5 linked regions of the Coturnix japonica genome follow. The protein of the gene in region 3 binds, or shares a complex with, the protein of the main gene of each other region. Links are inferred from orthologs where the notes say so. Each region holds a gene or a part of one and is shown on either strand. Other genes may lie near its edges.

Region 1 (2,750 bases), on a different chromosome or scaffold from region 3:
TTCCAACAGTTAAGTAACAAAATCCACTCAAAAAATGGGGTAAATATCACCTGCTAAGCAACTCAGATGGCCCTCTCCCACCCCCCGCCCGGATAAGAGATTTGGAAAAGGTTTTTGTTAAGAAGAGAACTAAGTTCCTGGGCTCCCGATGCTTGATAGAAATGTCTATGATTGTAGCTCTTCCCTTGAGGATTTCTCTACCAAATTAGTTTCTAAGCTCCTGAAGTTCACTCATTACACCACAAGCTTCCCCAGGAGAAAGAAATCGCACCTGGCTTCCCTGGTGACCGACAAGGGAGCCCGGGTGCCTGAGATCTGCTGACAAACCTCATGGTACAGTGGGAGAAAGTCAGGCAGAGTGAAATGGCAGTGCAATCCCTGAGGAAGCAGCTGTGGCACCTTAAATCAGGATGGTCTTTGAAATACCAAACACAGTACATGACATACAGACCTGAATTCTCTTTTTTATTATTATTATTAATTTTATTATCTTTTTTTTTTCTTTTTTTTTTTTTTTTTTTTCCTTTTTTTTTTTCAGTGGCATTTTTAAGTTTAAACACTTCCCCCTTTTCCTAATTAAGTTCTTAAACCTTTTGCTGTGGACTAAAATAGTTTAAACAGCCGCTAGCCAAGCACCTGTTAAGCTGTTGACCGAAAACTAGAGCAGCTTTGATGTTCCTGGGGCAGGCAGTCTTCTTGCCTTGGGAGACACAGAATAGCTAAAAGCCAGTCCACAGGCGAGGACTGATCAGGAAGGCAAGCCAAAAGAACCAGCAAAAGAAAACAGACAATCAAAGGCTTGATGTCATATGGCTGTAATGTAGAAATACTGTAAACTGCAATTTAGTGTTAATACTGTAAGCTACCCTAATATCTTTTCACACACGCACAAAAAAAGATCAAATGGCCTAAATCCCAGGGCTTTACGAGCCCCAAACTCTTGGGTCTTTTTCTTAATTATAATTATGATTCCTTTTCAATGTGGGGATTTGAAGTGAGGCCCTGACAGGCAGAGCTCCGGTACGGACACACGGCACGTGAACTGAGGAAACAAACGCACAAAGCCTTACTGGAACCACAGAACTTCCTTTTGTGTTGCTTTTCTTAAAAACGAGGGCCATTCCGTTCCATGTTAATTCATCTTAAAACCCTTTTATTTCTAGCAATAAAGTTAAATTAAAGACAGCTCCACTTGTATTAATAATCTACAGAACAGTCCATATGCCAGTGAGGCTGCTATTCCATAACCAGCACAGCCAGCCTGACTTTCCACTAGTGGTGTTTTGGCAAAAATGTCAAAGAGGCAATCAAAGACAGGTTGTGGGGGCCTCCCAGGGAAGGTGTCCCCTCCCGTTCCCTCCCCCACCCCTGACCCCCCCCACTTGTGGGAAAAAAATAAAGACTGCAGTAGTTAGCATCAGCGTGCGGCTGCCAGTCCATCTGGGGGTCTAATTGTTGCCTTCTCCGCCGTCGTCGTCTTGCTGATCGCTTGTCCAGAGCGTTAGGTTGTCACGGAGGAGCTGCATGATGAGCGTTGAGTCCTTGTAGGAGTCCTCGTTGAGGGTGTCCAGCTCGGCGATGGCGTCGTCGAACGCCGTCTTGGCCAGGTGGCAGGCCTGCTCCGGAGCGTTCTGGATCTCGTAGTAGAAAACGGAGTAGTTGAGCGCCAGGCCGAGCCGGATGGGGTGGGTCGGCTGCATGTGCTCCTTGCTGATCTCATGGGCCTCGCTGTAGGCCTTCTCCGAAGACTCCACCACGGTCGCCCTCTTCTCCCCGGTGGCCACTTCAGCCAGGTATCGGTAATAGTCTCCCTTCATCTTCAGGTAGAAGACTTTGCTCTCGTACTGCGTCTCGCTGCAGTTCTTGATCAGGTAGTTGTCCAGCAGGCTCAGCACGTCCTGGCACACGGCTTCCAACTCCTTCTCAATCTTCTCACGGTAGGCCCGAACCATTTCGATCTTCTTCTCATTGCCATCAGCGGAGGTCTTCTGCTCGATGCTGCTGATGACTCGCCAGGACGAGCGCCGTGCCCCCACAACGTTCTTGTAGGCGACGGACAGGAGGTTCCTCTCTTCATTGGACAGAGGCTCATTCAGTTCTGTCACCTGTACCAAGAGAGGAAGAGAGAAAAAGGGGCTCAGGTTAACCACGGGGCCACTCGCTGTTTCCCATCACAACTCAGCATTGAAGTGCTCCAGGTAGGAGTGGGAGAATGGAGTCGGCCCAAACCCCAGCATCATAAAGGTTGGAAAAGGCCTCTCTGACCATCTAAGTCCCATTGGAGCCATGGGTTGATGGTTGGACTTCACTATCATAGAGCCTGGGATCTGTTCAAGGTATCCTCCATCTTAGAAATATCAGTGTTTTCTAGAATGAGAGAAATCCCAGAGGAAATGGGTGCGTTTCACCTGAGGGAAGATGCTGATGAGAGGAAGCACTGAGATGGGTGGTGATGTTCTAGAGTTACAAGCTAGCTGAATGGATTAACAAGACGGAAAATTCAGCTACGGCGTGTTCAGCTTTTCCATTTCCCATGAGCATTATACATTCTTTTGAGATGCCAAAAGAATACGTTAGATGTTAAAATTACAGCTGCCTAAGGCATCTACGGAGATAAGGATTTGAAAGCTCACGTGGCAAGAGCATGTTCTTCCCACATGGGATTTTCTTCATTGACAATAAGAGTCTTAATGCACCGTATCGCTTCCCCCTGCCTCACACAACGCAGCACAGAGCAGCCGAGATGACGG
Region 2 (4,251 bases), about 430 kb from region 3:
TAACATACAGCATGTGACATGTAACATACAGCATGTAACATACAGCATGTGACATGTAACATAAATCATGTAACATGTAACATGCAGCATGTAACATGTAACATACAGCATGTAACATGTAATATGCAGCATGTGACATACAGCAGGTAACATAACATCAGGGAGCACATAACATTTAACACATAGCAAGTAACATCTTACAGCACTGTCATATGTAATTTTAAATATGTAACATGTAACATTAACATAACATACAGCGTGTAACATGTAACGCCATACAGCATGGTGACATGTAACAGCATGTAGCATGTGATACCATCTAGCACTGCAACATGTAACATGCCATATGCCATGTAGTATTATATAGCACTGCAACATGTAACATGCCATATACCATGTAGTATCATATAGCACTGTAACATGTAACATGCCCTATAGCATGTAACACCTGGCACATAACACACTAGGTAGCACACAGCATGACACACAGCATGTAGCATGTACCAGCGCTGCATGCAACACCCAGCAGGCAGCACGCTGCATGCATGCAGCACCGCACACACAGCACACAGCGCATGGCAGCCCTGCAGTAACACGCCCCTATGCAGGAGCTGCCCCACACTTATGGGGGGGGTCCCCATCCCTTAGGGCTCATTGCCGGGGGTCACCCCTGGGGACCCCCCTCTCCCTGCAGGCAGCAGGACCATCCCATTCCCCCCCCCCCGCCGGGCACCCCGCGTTGCGCAAAGCGCCGTCGGATCAGTGCGGGCGGATGGAGATAAATATATAATTCCTTTTTTTTCCCCTCCCGGAGCGACGCGCTGTCTAGACGCCCACGTGATGGGGCTGCGCGCAAACGGAGCGGGCGGGGGGGAAAGGGGGGTGGGGGGGAAGGGAGGCAATAGGGAAAAAAAAGAAGAAGAAAAGGGGGGCGCGGCCACAACGCGCACGCACCGTCGCTTCTCCCCCCTCCTCCCTACACACACATACACACCTCCCCCCGCGCAAAAATAATTAGGGGAAAAAAAAAAAGGCAAAAGGGAACGACGGAGCCGCGGCGGTGCGGGTGTGTGAGCGGGGAGAGCAGGGGAAAATAGGGGCAAAAAGAGGAGGAGGAGGGAGAAGAATCACCGAGAAAAGCCCGAGAGGCTGCGGGGAGGGTGGGGGCGGGGAGCCGCGGCCGCGCTTACATTCCGCGCTTCATTCGCCCCGTTTCTCTCCTTGGCAGAGCGGAGCGGAGCGGGGACGCGCGATGCTGCTCGCTCCGCGGACGAACGCGCCGAGGCCGCTCCGCACGTAGGGCCGCCGGGCTCCTTTTTTAGACTTATTTTACATTTTTATTTTTTTAAAGTTTTTTTTTTTAATTATTATTATTTTTTTATTTTTTAACCTCTTTCCCCCCCCCCCTCCCTTCTTCTCCCACCCCCCCCCCCCCCCGCCCCGTCCCTTTGCCTCGCCCTTCTCCATTTTTTCCGCCCCTCTCCCCCTCTCGTCGCGGTGCGTTGATGGGAGCTGCGGCCCCCGGCAGCCCCACGGCTCCCCCCGGCTCTGTGCTCTCTCCGCACCCGCGCTGGGCCGCCCCCCCCCGCGCGATGCGCCGCGGAGCCGCGCTCTGAAACCGCGCCGATTTCTCCCATTTTCCCTTTTAATCCTTTTTCTCTCCTTTTCCTAAAGGAGAGCGGCACCCCCGGGTTTTTCTCTTCCCCCCCCCCGACTTTTTTTGCTTTTCACCTCTCGCAGCGTGGGCAACCCTTGAGTGCTGCTCACTCCTCTCTCCCCAGCCAAGCAAAGCGGAGTGAAACTGCTCCTTTTTCTACCATTTTCTTTTTTGTTTTCCTTTTTTTTTTTTTTCCCCTCTCCTTTTTCTCTCCTTCACTTACTAAAGGGGAACGGCACCCCCGAACTCTCCCTTTGCTTACCCGCTTTTTGCTCCCCTTCACCTCGCGGCGCGGTCACCCCTCGCGCTGCCCACCTCCAAGCAAAGCGCCGTGAAACTGCGCTGATTTGTCACTTTTTTGCGTTTTTTCCCACTTTTATCTTTTCGTATTTTTAAAGCCGAGCACCGCCTTCCCTCCGAGCTCTTTCTCCCCCGCTTTTTTTCCCTTTTACCTCGCGCAGCACGAGTGCCCCTCACGCTGCGCACCCCCCCGGCCATCAAAGCGCGGAGCCTGGCGCATGCACCACCCCGGCCGGGCCCCCCCCCCGCTCGCCGCTGCCCCCCGCCTCGCCCCGGCTGCCGGCCCCTTCATGCTCGGCGCACGCCATGCCCGTGCCGTAGCCGGGGGCCCCTCCTCACGTCCCGCATGTTCAGGACCAAACGCTCGCTCCTCGTCCGACGGCTCTGGCGGAGCCGCGCACCCGGCGGCGGAGAGGAGGAGACGGGAGACGGCGCAGCGCCGGCCGAACCTCGGCCGCACTCATGCGGCGGGGGGAACCGGGGGTGCTGCCCGGCCAAACCCCCCCGCGGGGGCGGCCGGGGGGCGGCGGAGGGCGAGCTGAAGGCGCTGACCCACGCCGTGCTGAAGCGCTGCAAGGAGCGGCAGCTGGAGGGGCTGCTGCGCGCCGTCGAGTCCCGCGGGGCGGCCCGCACCCCCTGCGTGCTGCTGCCGGCTCGAGGGGAGGCGCGGCTGGGAGCGCAGCGGGACGCGCTGCCCGCGCTGCTGTGCCGGGTGTTCCGCTGGCCCGAGCTGCGGCACGGGGCGCCCCTCAAGCGGCTCCGAGGCTGCTGCCAGGCCGACGGCGCGGCGCCCACCGAGCTCGTGTGCTGCAACCCGCACCACCTCAGCCGCCTCTGCGAGCTCGGTAAGGGGCGATGGGCGGGGGGATGTGGGGACGGGGTGAGGATGGGGGCGGCTCTGATGTGGGGGTGGAAGGTGGTCGTGGTGTTGGGTGGGGGTGGCGGTGAATTGGGCCGGGGGCTGGGGGTGATTCTGTCCGAGGGATGGGTGTCGTGGCTTTGTGATTCTGGGTATCCCACATCCCAACTCGTGTAGTGTGCACTGGGAGTTGACAGATGGGGTATGTCCTAGGGGTGGAGTTGGTAGGGATGTGGGGATGGAGGTGGTGGTGGGGATGGAGTGTGTCCTGGGGTTTGAATTAAATTGGGATGGGGCTGGAGATGATGACATGGGGCTGGGAATGGAGTGTGTCCTATGGATGGGGTTTAATGGGGTGAAAATAGAGGTAGTGAAATGGGGATGGTGATAGTGATATGGGGCTGGGGCTGGAGTATGTCCTAGAGATGGCATTAAATTGGGATGAGGCTGAAGTGTGTCCTAAGGATGGGATATGTCCTAGGGTTGGGGTTTATTGAGGTGGGAATGGAGGTAGTAATGGGGATGGAGTATGTCCTAAGGATGGTATTGAGATTGGGCTGGAGAATAGTGATATTAGTGATATGGGGCTGGGGCTGGAGTATGTAATAGGGACAGCACATAATGGGGTGGGAATGGAGGTAGTGAAATGGGGATGGGACTGGAGGTAGTGGTGGAGTTGGAGTATGTCCTAGGGATGGGGTATAATGGGGTGGGAACAGAGGTAGTGAAATGTGGATGGAGATGGAGGTAATGATGGGGATTGGACTGGAGAGGTGGGCATGGAGTATGTCCTTGGGATGGGGATGGGGTATAGTGGGATGGAGATGGAGGTAATAAGGGTGGGACTGGAGGTCCTGGTGGGGATGGCATGTGTCCTGGGGTTGGGGATGGAAGCAGTGGTATAGGGCTGGAAGTGGGATATGTCTTAGGGCTTGGGTATGTGTTAGGGATAAGGATGATGGAGGTAGTGATACAGGGCTGGAGCTGGATATGTCCTAGGGGTTGAGTATGTCCTAGGGATAGGAATATAATGGGAATGATGGGGCTGGGGTATGATGGGGTCCTGGGACTGGGGCTGGGGTATGGCCTGGGGATGAAGATGGTACTGGTATGGGGATGGGGTCAGGAATGAGCTATGGCCTGGAGCTGGGCTGTGGCCTGGGGACAGGGATGGAGGTAGTGATATGGGGATGGGGGTGGGTTATGGCCTGGGGCTGGAGTGTGGGGTTGGAGGTAGGGATATGGGGATGGGGCTGAGGTATGGTCTGGGAATGGGAATGGAGGTAGTGATGTGGGGCTGGGGTCAGGGATAGGGATGGGGTTGCAGATGGAGGTGGAGATGGGTTATAGGAATAGGGTAGGGAATCAGGTTGGGGTCATGAATGGGGATGGGGTTGCAGATGGGATGGTATGGAAGTGGGGACGTGGGAGATAG
Region 3 (3,516 bases):
AGCTTTGTGATCCTTGAGGTCCCCTCCAATTGGGGCCATTCTGTGATGAAGCACTAGCACAGGCTGCCCAGAGATGTGGTGAATTTCCCATATTTGGTGACATACAAGGTCAGGCTGGACAGGGCTCAGAGCAACCTGATCTAGCTATATGAGTCCCTCTTCATTGCAGGGCAGTTGGACTAGATGACCTTTAAAGGTTCCTTCCAACTCAAACGATTCTATGATTCCATGAACAGAACTTTGTTTCTCTTCCAAGCGCCCCCCAGTTTCTACAGTGCTGTTGGCATCCAGTGGGAGAAGCTCTATCTGGGAATAAATGTTGGCCATGCCTGTACTTCAGTGGTGTTTGTGCTCGCCACCTGCAGTGTGTGTTCTGTGGGCAGAGGGCAGGAAGCTCACCGTAAAGTTCAGCAAATCCGTTCATAGGCACTCGCGATGTGCCAGTAACAAACTGCAGTAAGCGAATGCGTTTTTCTGCATCCATCAGTAAAACAGCCTGTTGAGAAGCAGACAGGGTGACTTTTCATGGCTAAAGATATCTTTGTTAAAATAAGCAAAACAGAATTTATTTGTATTACGTGGTAAGAAATGGATATCTAACTTTGAAGGATGGCCTGCCACATTTTCTCTGGTTAAACAATTCCCTTCTAACAAAGAAAGTGACAATGTCTGGGCAACAGCCAGGAGCTACAACTGCCATTCATCTGTATGAGGTGACTCACTCACAAGACTTCTGGGCTAGTACAGGGAAAACTGTTCTCCTAGTTCTCCTGCAAACATACACTTTTCATAGAAGTAATGCACTTCAGAAAGATTGCAAACCACTTCAATAAAACTGGAGAGACTTTGTCAGTCTGGGTCATTCCGATACAGACTCCAGTAATGGAACTGCCATTTCCAGAATATACCAAAGTATTTTTCCGTAGTTTTTGAGAAGAAAAATGATTCAATAACTGACTTCACTGCACACTAAAGGATCTTTGACTTCTAGGAATCGTCAGAGAAACCAAACATGATAAGGGTGTTACCTTCCAGAACCACTGGATGACGGGATGATTTGGGCAGTAGCCATTTTTGTAGATCGTGTGCTGTCTCCAGTCATTAACATCGACATCACCAAGGCCACACATCAGTAACTAGATATGGAAACAATGATGTTAATCAAAGATAGTACCAGTATCACCCTGAAGGCTTCATCAGATAAACCACCTCTCCCTCTGTTGCCTGGTCTCTCAAACAGTTAATGCTGTACAAATACAAATACAGACATAAAGTGGCACTGAGCTTCTCTTCAGGACAATTCTCAAGGATAACCCCACTTTACTGGAGAAACACTATGCAATATGAAGTATGTATGCTTCATGTGATGGCATCTTTTACAGCACATTTGCTGAAAACATGGCCAGTATATGTCATTAACTCAGCAAACTACTTGCATTCTTTATGTATGCATGTACTAAACCACCTCAGTGAGTAACTGATACTTTTTGTACTTTTACTTGATTGAGAGATTTATTATTCTGGGCAAAAAAAATCCTCATTTCCCACTAAAACAAAGAACCTTTTTCTCCAAACTCCATGATGACCTAATGAATTGAGAACATAATGCATCTCTGCAATGGGCATTACCAATCTGTCATCTCTCGACATCAAGCAAACTCACCTCTAGTTCATTTTCATCAAAAATTTTAATCAGATCGATAGGAAGAAGCTCTGTGAATCCCTAGGAGAAAAAGTAAAATCAGTAAACTATGTGTAATTACGTGGTTTTTTTTTTCTTCTGATAGAACCTTTGCCTTCAGGGAAAGCTGTTAGCTAAGTGATGGAGGGCAAAGAAGGGTTTGGAAAATGAAATATACAGTTCCTGAAGTATTGAGTCTCTAATTTAAAAACTGCTATTTCGAGCTCAAATAATGTCAACTTGAATGAGAATGATCTTATGAGTAACAGAACCTGTGTGGTCATGCACAGCTTCCCACTCCCGTAACCAGGCACTGCTGTATGCCTACATAATTTGGGTAAAGAAAAGGACAAAAAGGAGAACCTTACCTCCAAAAAAGCATTCATTTGTTTTTGAACTCTGTTTACAAACCTCCACTGGATGACCAGGCTGTGGGAGATAACAAACATAAACACATTCATTAGAAGACTAATTTGCAACCCTAACAATATCAGCTTCTCATTTACAACTTTAGGAACCTCTCAGTCATATTCTTATGTTTGAGATACTGAGTTGCTTTTTATTAAATTATACAGCCTACAAATTCATTACTATGTTCTATTCTAAGCAAGATTGTAGTCTAGACCCCAGGTAATGTACTTACTGTTTGAAATAAGTATCTAAACGATGAGACTTTTCCTATTATTCTAGAGCTCTAAGCAGATTTGTAACTACAACTGCAGTTTCTCTCCTTTTCTCTTTTTCTCTTCTTTTTCTTTCCTTGTGCACCAACTAGAACTCCTTAATCATAACATAACTCTTGGGAAAAGCATTGGAAAAAATTAAACTGCATCAAATGTTTGGAAATGAGTACACAGTAATCCTCTTAAAGGAGTACTTAAACACGTGCAGAGTTCCTGAACCCTTCCTTGAATAAAAACTGAAGGGAAAGCAAATGTGACCTCAGCAACGTGACGTCCTATTTTCACTCTTTTCTCTTGTTAGTTTACTGTTCTGTTCTGCACTTATTCTTCATTTGCATTCCATGATAGCACTTCAGCAGGAAAAACTGCAGCCCAGGGTGGAAATTCACCACTTAGGAGACCTACAAAGCAGAGGCCGCCAGTGCACAAAGTGAGGCATGAAATTGGGCCAGATTCATATCCTGCTGTAACACTGTAGTTCTTGTACCCATGAAAGGCCATTTTTTTTCATCAGTTTTGGAGGGTGCTCAGAATGAGTAACTTAGACTGGTGTCTGCAGTCATTCAGGGCAATTCCATACCTCCTTGAATGCTCCTTATGCCAGCGCATCAATACTGTTTCCTACTACATGACATAGGCTGCCATAATTACAGTAGTTCATCGAACAGCAAAGGTTAAAATCCAAACTTTCTAGGAATGCAGTGTAAACAAACAAACCATGTTAACACAGGGATTTTCTTTTGAAAGGATGTCTGACAATCTCTGTGTTACAATAACTGCGGTGGGGTAAATTCCAAAGCATTACCACTGTGTGTTGTGAAGCTCAGGGTGAACTCTACAAATATATACGTACTCAATGTATTCCCTTTTGTTCTCATTTGTTACCATGATTTCTGACCCATTTGGCTTCAGGTCGACTTGATACGTCTGTATTTTAAAGAAAAAAATAGAATAAAACAGGGCATTATTTCAGGACACATTCCTCATGAAATCCACCACCCATGAGAGGTATTTTACAAGCAGTACTAGAAAAATATCACACATCAATAGCTAATGAGACATCAAAATATTTCATGTTTAAGGGTGACATAATTAGGGAGAAATTATTCTACGGTCACTCTTAAGAATAAATTATTTTCCAACTTCTATTGC
Region 4 (3,516 bases), on a different chromosome or scaffold from region 3:
CAAAAGCCAAACAAGCAAGTCTGGAATGAGGAACAAAGCATACACCATTCTCCACTCCTACGTGCTGGCCCACAGAAAAATCTGGAAAACTCTAAGGGAAGCTCTGGCCATTTTTGTTCCCCTCACTATTATTGCTTTCACTCACTTTCTCCTTTCCTATGTGGCACTTAGGTGCAGCTTGAACCTTAAAAAAGAAAAAAAATCTTTTCCCTTGGCAGATGCAATTAAAGCACAGCTTAAGAACTGCAATAAGTAACTGCAAGTTTCTAGAATGAATCACACCACAACCTTTTTTTTCCCCTTTCTTTAAAGCAAGCCTTCTGCAAGGCTCTGGAGCAGCATTAAACTTCACCTTGCCATAAAAATCAAGCTGGTCTGTTGTTTTTTAGTTTTTGTTTTTTTGGTGGTGCAGTTTTTTCCTCTCTAAAAGGCGTCAGGTCTCTCTATCTAAGTCAATGAAAGAACTTACAGTTCTTCCAGACACCGTCTGCAGCTGAACACAATACGTAGTCTCATATAAAAGAGATGAGATCTCTGCTGAAAGATAATCTACCTCGGGAGTGAAAACAGTGGACTGAGTCTTATGCTTTCTTTTCTTATCTGGCTGCCATTTTAAGATCTTGCTTACCTGACTGACCCATACTCAGGGGGATGCTGATACCTCATCATAGGCCCATCGGATCTTCCCTGCTGGCTCACACGATGATCGCTATAGAAATGCCCCGAGTCCTGAGGTTTGCAGTTCATAGATGGGGTGGACACATTTTTGTAAGGATACTCCGGAGGAGGACCCCGCTGTTCCATCCCTTTCATGCTGGGCTGGGAAGGGGGCTGCACTGAGTTCTTGTAGAACTCACTGGAGCCAGAATTTTTATAAGGGTCGCTCGACTGCTGAGGAGAGAGAGGAGACAGAGGGGAGAGTGGAGCGCTTGTGACAGGCGCGTGCGCCTTGACACCGCTGGTGGCCAAGGACAGCTGCATCAGCCTCTCACTCAGGGAGCGGACGTGTCCTTGCTTGAGGTCCTTAAGTCCTTCATCCTGGTGGACCTTCCCTGGGCTCACCCGCTGAACCGTGGGCCGCCCTTCAGTCCTCATTTTTTGATTGGTCACCCCCGTTACATAAAACGCTGCCCCGACACTAGCATGCGGCTGGCCCCTGAAATACTGCGACTGCACTTTGGCTTCCTCATAGGTTGGGAGATCCTCACTGTTCTGGAGTCGCGGAGAGAGCTGCTTCTCCATGATGCTGTTGTCCACCTGTATTTCCTGGCCCTGGGGCTCCTGGCGGGCAGCATGAGTCACAAGCTGGTGGTCCTGGGAGCTCAGCCCTTCGTTCTGAGATGCTGGACTCCCAGTGCTGTTGAAAGGGGGGGCATTTCCTGTGGCTTGCTGGTGTAAGGCAAGAAGGTTACGGTTGTCATTTGGGTTTCCGTATCTGAGCTGCTCCTGCAGCAGGCGTTGTAAAACTGTCGTAGCTGCTTGCTCTTCTGAATTCCTCATCTCAAACTGTGGTGCCTTTTGGGTGGAATGTAAAAGCTGCCCTTGACCTAAGGAAAGGAGACACGGTTATTAGCGCCTGAGTAGATCAAGCAGAAGACATTTAAGACCAATAGCTTAAAATACAGAAGAAAAAGGCAGGTTAGATTACCAAAGGTTCCCATAACAATAAGGGTCATTAAGGCCCTTAGACCTAAGAACTTGAATGCTAGGGGGCAAAGACTCAAAGGTGATGAAAGGTGACTTGCAAGTTTATAGGAATATCAATCGACTGCAAGCTGCAGAGATACAGGCTGAATACCTCAGACAGCAAGGCTGCTTTCAGGAGAAAGGAGACCCATAATTCATAGCATGACGGTAAAAATGCCTGAGCCCTGTTTGTTTTGTACTTACAGCTACCAACAGTGAAATAAGTTTCCCATGTTTGCAGGCAGGCAAAGATAAAAGGGTGAAATCAGCAAATTGTCAGCTTTAAGGAAGGGGAAAAAAGAAGTTCTGTTGAGACTGCATATGGTTCACAGGAAGCAGATGCATCTCTTAGTTTAGATCAGTTAAAGCAAGTAATGAATACCTGGATAGCCAGCAGACTTTTAGAGTTAATAAATATGCAGAATGAGATCAGTACCTAGTCTCCCTACTACAGAAAACAGTACATAATGGGGCAAGTGAGGACTCTGTAACTTCCTGCTATACAAAGGTAACCAAATCCTAACACATCTAAATATCATCAGCTGAACACATGCAAATGCAAGAGGAAAATAGTTGTCTGATCTAAGGCACAGAAAAAGATCTACAAGTGACAGGAAAAAGCACTGTGAACCAATGAGAGAAATTCAAAGAGCAAACTCAATGCGCAAATTCAACAGGCAGTAACCAACAGCAGTTAGCCCTCACTCAATCTCCCAGTAGAGTCAGGAATTTGTCAAGGAAACGCATAGCCATTGGCCTTGCATAAGCTGAAATATCCAAAATGAGTAACATCTCTGAGGCATTTAACTAAAAGCAGAGCTACCTCTTAGCCAGAACAGTTCAGAACAGAGCCTGCTTTACAAACACACATTGGTGTTCTGGCACTACCTTCTGGCACCTTTTTTTCTGTACATTGTCCCTTAGGTAGTGGCAATTTGCACACACTAGCTCGTTCTGTGGCAAACCCAGGGATGAGCTGCAGGAGTCAGGAGACCTGGAGGTCTGCTTCACTCCAGGCCTCCACAACCAGCCAGTTTCCTCCCTCAGGACTGCCTACCACAGGAGTCTAACACTGGAATACAAGGCCTCAGTGGGTCAGGCAGACAGAACCCTTCCGCAAACTTTAATGAAGGGAAAGTTAAAATCCACCTCCGCCCAGGCTGCCTTATCAAACTACAAATTTGGGTTCTATTGAACGGCCAGAGAAGTGGTTCTTCTGAAATCCTGTTTGAAGTGGCACATACCTACGTCCTTCACTTTGACTTCCTTGGTAAGGAGGAGCGGTTCTGGCACATGGGGGGATACAGCCTTCCTCCCGCACGTCCAAAATTTCCACTCAGAGATGGCTTCAGTCTCCTCTTCAGTGGAACAGATCACTTGATACTCTCCTCGCTTCCAAAATAATTCTGAGGAAAGCATTGAAAACATCATTTTAATCGGCAGATGAGATCCTAGAAATAACAAACCTTGGCCCATATTTACTATTTTTCTTTGTAGTTTCTTGTTTTCTCCCAGAGCCCGGCAATTCTGATCCCTTTAGGATGAATGAGCCCCCACGTCCCTAACAATCTACTCCAGCTGCTGCTTTAATCACGACAATTTCTGCTCCAAGATTAAATGTTGCCAAGTAATGCTCTGTTCCATCTGCGCCTCCAAGTGAAACAGTGATTAAAACCCTCTAATTCTTTAACTCCATTGTTTTATTTTTTTGCTAAGAATGAAAGCTGCAGCACAGATGACGATACTCTGCACTTTCAGCTCCTTTTTCAGTGGTACTGTATATTGCAAATTAGAGCAGAAATCCTTTAACGAAAGCTGCTGTGCTTACGT
Region 5 (3,516 bases), on a different chromosome or scaffold from region 3:
CTCTGTTTGCTAAGAAAATAAAATGTAAAATCTAAAGAATATAACGTGTATTTTTTTGAAGTTTTACTGCTAAGGAAGTAATGTCCCAGTGTTACAACTGACGGTTTATTTGAACAGAACTGCCTGAAGCTTTTAAGACAGTTTACTTTGTGTCAGCTGAACTTTGGACTTCATCCCATGGCCATATTCCAAAGAATTACAAAGACCATAAACTAGCATGAGGCAAGCTGGCTAGAACAATAGGAGCAAGGTTGGTTTGAGCTGCAATTGTGTGTATTTTGATACCAAGCTGTAATTGATGGAACCTGGGGACTTTCAGTTCATCTTTTCATCCACGGACAAAACAAGGTGTTGCACGGTAACGATTTGGGACCTTTTGTCTCCTTTCTGCTTGTGCAGTGGCTTTGCAAACATTCTGGTTTTGATTTGGACCCTTCAATTGTCAAACATAAGATGTAACTGGAAGTTGTAGGTACCCGGTGATCTCTTCTGTATCGATGAAGTTTGAACTGGGAAGAATACAGAAAGCCCCAGTGAAAGCAGAGCTGCCAGCGCTGTGTGGACACTCGGAATGAAGTCAGGGAGTTTATCCTGGCTGAGGGCCAGGCCTGAGGTTGCATGCATGTTATTTGGGAGCAAGGCAGTCCCTTGGTGCACAGGAAATCCATTGTCAGTGCTTGCTCTGCAAATGACTTGACGCAAAAGCAGTAAGTGAAATAAGCACATGCCCCGTGGGCAAATCCATCAGAAACATAAGCCTCTGTGACTCCGTGTTGAAACACTATTTTTCTAAGCAGCGCAGAGGGAAAGGAAGTGAGCACACTTATTTATCTTGTTGCTTCTGAGGGAGTTAGGAGTAACTGCAATTAGTGCAGTTAGATAACATAAATCAGTAACTTCTGATGAACAGAGTTTAACAAACACCCCAACCACAGCTGGGGTTAGAACTGTTCTTAGAGCACATCATAGAGAGTGCAGAGCCTTCCTCTGCTGAAACTGCAAGCATCACTCCTTGGATTCAGGGGGAGCAGTTGAATCACCCAGAGCCATCTGAATGCCCCACCTTTCACTTGGCTGCCTCAGTCTGTAACCCCAGTAAAAGAAACGTTACCACCTATGGGGGAAATGGCTTTTCTTTTGAAAATGTGAAATCACTTGGACTGGAAGAAATAATCTTTTGATTATTGTGAAGGCAGTTATGTACAGTGTGTCAGTGTTAAAATAGCTGCAGAGATCCTTGCAGTCAGAGAAGTGGGGCTTGCCGGCTGCTTTGCACAGCATCACTGCAGGCAGGTTTGTGCTCTGCCCTTCCTAAGCTTTTCTTCTTCTTCTCTCCTCTCCTGTTATTAGGGTACTGCCTACCTACAAGTGGTCCCGTGCTTCATAGAAAAGCTAACTTCACTTTGAGGATTTTCTCCAAGATAGTGGAGTGACACCCCACTTACTCCATGACTTATATCTTTGACTATTTTGATTGTTCCACGTGCCAAAAGAATCAGGGGTGATGTAACTTCCTCGCTGCACTCCATTGAAATCTGTCAAGTAATTAAAGCTCGGTGGTTGCATTGAGCCCGAGGAATGAAGCAGAACAATATTTCAGAACAGGCGCTTTCCTCATCCCCCCTTTTCCTAAGGGCCTGTGACTCATTTTGCTTCTTATTTGTGTGCAGATCTGCAGCCCGTTACCTACTGTGAGCCGGCGTTCTGGTGCTCCATATCCTACTATGAACTCAACCAGCGCGTGGGGGAGACGTTCCACGCCTCGCAGCCCTCCATGACTGTGGATGGTTTCACTGACCCGTCGAATTCTGAACGCTTCTGCCTTGGTCTGCTCTCTAATGTGAACAGAAACGCAGCAGTGGAGCTCACCAGGCGGCACATCGGTAACTTCTGTCTCCTTATTTTCCTTGGTGTTTTTCAGGGCGGAAGGTGGGATCTGCCCTTAGAGCCTTTTAGTTACCTAATGGCATGCAGCTCTGTCCATTTTAGGACGCCATAGGATTGCAGTATCCATGGTGATTTGGGTTAATCCACCATAAAGGAACACTAATTGTATTCTTTTATAAAAATACAATTAAAGAGGCACTGAGAAACACTCCAGTAACTGCGTTTAACAGAGATGGAGTTTGTATTCTTGCACACAGTCTAAAGAACTTCATTTGGGTGGACATTATAGATCATCTTATGTATTCCTTATATTCCCCTATATATCTTTTTCTGGACAGTAAAGGTTCTTACAGGAGGATCTTTCCTTCCTTGTAAACTGATTTGTAGCACTGAAAAATAAATACAAAGAGAACAGCAACACACTCACACAGCAAACACGAGCCAGGATTCAGAAACCAGTCCTTAATTCAGCAGGTTCCTTGTGCAGCATGGAAGAAAGAAAGCAGGGCTTTGAAATAGCCATGTAACACCACAGCTAATATTTATTTGTGTGACAGAAATGAATTCCTGGATTTATTAACTGAGGTTTTAATAATATGTGCAAACTCTTATAAGAAGGGTGTGTCTGTCCTTGTGTACAAATACAGTCTAAAGGAAAAGGCAGCTGTTTGGAAACACTGGATGTTTTAATCCCAAATCAGTAATGAAGTAAATAAACAAGCAGTTGTATGCAGCTGTGGTGATTCAGAAAAGGTTGAAAACTCTATGTTAACCAGTGGTACATTCGTATAGAAGGTATCGTGGTCGTTGCTGTTTGGGAGGTGGTGAGACTGTGCAGCCCAGTCTGGCTGGAGCCCAGGTCTGAGCTGGTTTTCATTGCCATCATTCATGGTTCAGCTGCTTTCTGAGCTGTCAGGTGTGGAGGCTGTGCCTCTTCCCACTCACCTTCCAGGTTTTGCAGGTGGCCGTTCTGAACTAACCCTGACCTGTGCTCTGTGTTTCTCAGGAAGAGGAGTGAGGCTGTACTACATCGGCGGGGAGGTGTTTGCTGAGTGCCTTAGTGACAGCGCCATTTTCGTCCAGTCTCCCAACTGCAACCAGCGCTATGGCTGGCACCCAGCAACGGTCTGCAAGATCCCACCGGGTAAGGACACGCGCGGGTAGGAAGAAACAGTGCTGCACAGTTCAAGCAGGATCTGCCGTGTATTCAGCACAGTGTGTCGATGTTGTTGTTGTCTAATAGTCCTGCTTATAACTTCATATGAAAGAAGGTAACTTTGGATTTTTTTCTCAGTTTAGATTAGCCCATAATAAACTGTTGCTGGTTTCTGTTCTGTAGTGCAGCCTTTTTTCTGTGAGCTTTATTCTAGAGAAATTAGAATAGAATCTAGAATGTCACTTGTGAGGTATGCTGAAATGTCAGAGGAGACATTATTGTGTGTATTTGGGAAAAGCTGCTATTTTTGTTAGATACACACATGAGCTGGGATGAGAAGATGCTTTTCAAAAGGCTGTTTAGCCAGGCTTCCAAAACCTGCTGCTTTTTTTTTTTTTAACATTTAAAAGTACTTATATGTTCAAAAAGTAACTTTTTCATTTAGAAATACTTGAATAAAGATCCTCTTTTTT

The links.
Region 1: the proteins of NEDD4L (region 3) and YWHAG are in contact, whole or in part, in a crystal structure (PDB 6ZC9), measured with the Homo sapiens proteins. The link is inferred for Coturnix japonica from reciprocal best matches to the Homo sapiens genes NEDD4L and YWHAG. Residues at the interface, in NP_001138439.1 of Homo sapiens: Pro444, Arg445, Ser446, Leu447, Ser448, Ser449, Pro450; in NP_036611.2 of Homo sapiens: Lys50, Arg57, Arg61, Lys125, Arg132, Tyr133, Gly174, Leu177, Asn178, Val181, Tyr184, Glu185, Leu225, Asn229, Leu232, Trp233.
Region 2: the proteins of NEDD4L (region 3) and SMAD7 are in contact, whole or in part, in an NMR structure (PDB 2LTY), measured with the Homo sapiens proteins. The link is inferred for Coturnix japonica from reciprocal best matches to the Homo sapiens genes NEDD4L and SMAD7. Residues at the interface, in NP_001138439.1 of Homo sapiens: Arg394, Asp396, Lys398, Arg400, Tyr402, Val404, Asn405, His406, Arg409, Thr410, Thr411, Thr412, Trp413; in NP_005895.1 of Homo sapiens: Glu203, Glu205, Ser206, Pro207, Pro208, Pro209, Tyr211, Ser212, Arg213, Tyr214, Pro215, Asp217.
Region 4: the proteins of NEDD4L (region 3) and AMOT are in contact, whole or in part, in a crystal structure (PDB 7LP3), measured with the Homo sapiens proteins. The link is inferred for Coturnix japonica from reciprocal best matches to the Homo sapiens genes NEDD4L and AMOT. Residues at the interface, in NP_001138439.1 of Homo sapiens: Lys202, Asp204, Leu206, Arg208, Tyr210, Val212, Asn213, His214, Arg217, Thr218, Thr219, Gln220, Trp221; in NP_001106962.1 of Homo sapiens: His235, Arg236, Gly237, Pro238, Pro239, Pro240, Glu241, Tyr242, Pro243, Phe244, Met247.
Region 5: the proteins of NEDD4L (region 3) and SMAD3 are in contact, whole or in part, in an NMR structure (PDB 2LB2), measured with the Homo sapiens proteins. The link is inferred for Coturnix japonica from reciprocal best matches to the Homo sapiens genes NEDD4L and SMAD3. Residues at the interface, in NP_001138439.1 of Homo sapiens: Glu392, Glu393, Arg394, Lys398, Gly399, Arg400, Tyr402, Val404, Asn405, His406, Arg409, Thr410, Thr411, Trp413; in NP_005893.1 of Homo sapiens: Glu178, Thr179, Pro180, Pro181, Pro182, Gly183, Tyr184, Leu185, Ser186, Glu187, Asp188.

Annotation. Positions count from the first base shown.
Region 1 is NC_029534.1:3,157,021-3,159,770, reverse strand, and holds the end of YWHAG (14-3-3 protein gamma), read right to left. Parts: intron 2,106-2,750; coding exon 1,449-2,105; 3' UTR 503-1,448; downstream 1-502. UniProt on the Homo sapiens protein: Adapter protein implicated in the regulation of a large spectrum of both general and specialized signaling pathways. Binds to a large number of partners, usually by recognition of a phosphoserine or phosphothreonine motif.
Region 2 is NC_029547.1:1,082,934-1,087,184, forward strand, and holds the start of SMAD7 (mothers against decapentaplegic homolog 7), read left to right. Parts: upstream 1-1,440; 5' UTR 1,441-2,303; coding exon 2,304-2,802; intron 2,803-4,251. UniProt on the Homo sapiens protein: Antagonist of signaling by TGF-beta (transforming growth factor) type 1 receptor superfamily members; has been shown to inhibit TGF-beta (Transforming growth factor) and activin signaling by associating with their receptors thus preventing SMAD2 access.
Region 3 is NC_029547.1:653,732-657,247, reverse strand, and holds part of NEDD4L (E3 ubiquitin-protein ligase NEDD4-like), read right to left. Parts: intron 3,292-3,516; coding exon 3,218-3,291; intron 2,111-3,217; coding exon 2,050-2,110; intron 1,724-2,049; coding exon 1,664-1,723; intron 1,137-1,663; coding exon 1,029-1,136; intron 497-1,028; coding exon 400-496; intron 1-399. UniProt on the Homo sapiens protein: E3 ubiquitin-protein ligase that mediates the polyubiquitination of lysine and cysteine residues on target proteins and is thereby implicated in the regulation of various signaling pathways including autophagy, innate immunity or DNA repair.
Region 4 is NC_029519.1:12,266,905-12,270,420, reverse strand, and holds part of AMOT (angiomotin), read right to left. Parts: intron 3,093-3,516; coding exon 2,931-3,092; intron 1,548-2,930; coding exon 629-1,547; intron 1-628.
Region 5 is NC_029525.1:17,086,058-17,089,573, forward strand, and holds part of SMAD3 (mothers against decapentaplegic homolog 3), read left to right. Parts: intron 1-1,670; coding exon 1,671-1,883; intron 1,884-2,893; coding exon 2,894-3,031; intron 3,032-3,516. UniProt on the Homo sapiens protein: Receptor-regulated SMAD (R-SMAD) that is an intracellular signal transducer and transcriptional modulator activated by TGF-beta (transforming growth factor) and activin type 1 receptor kinases.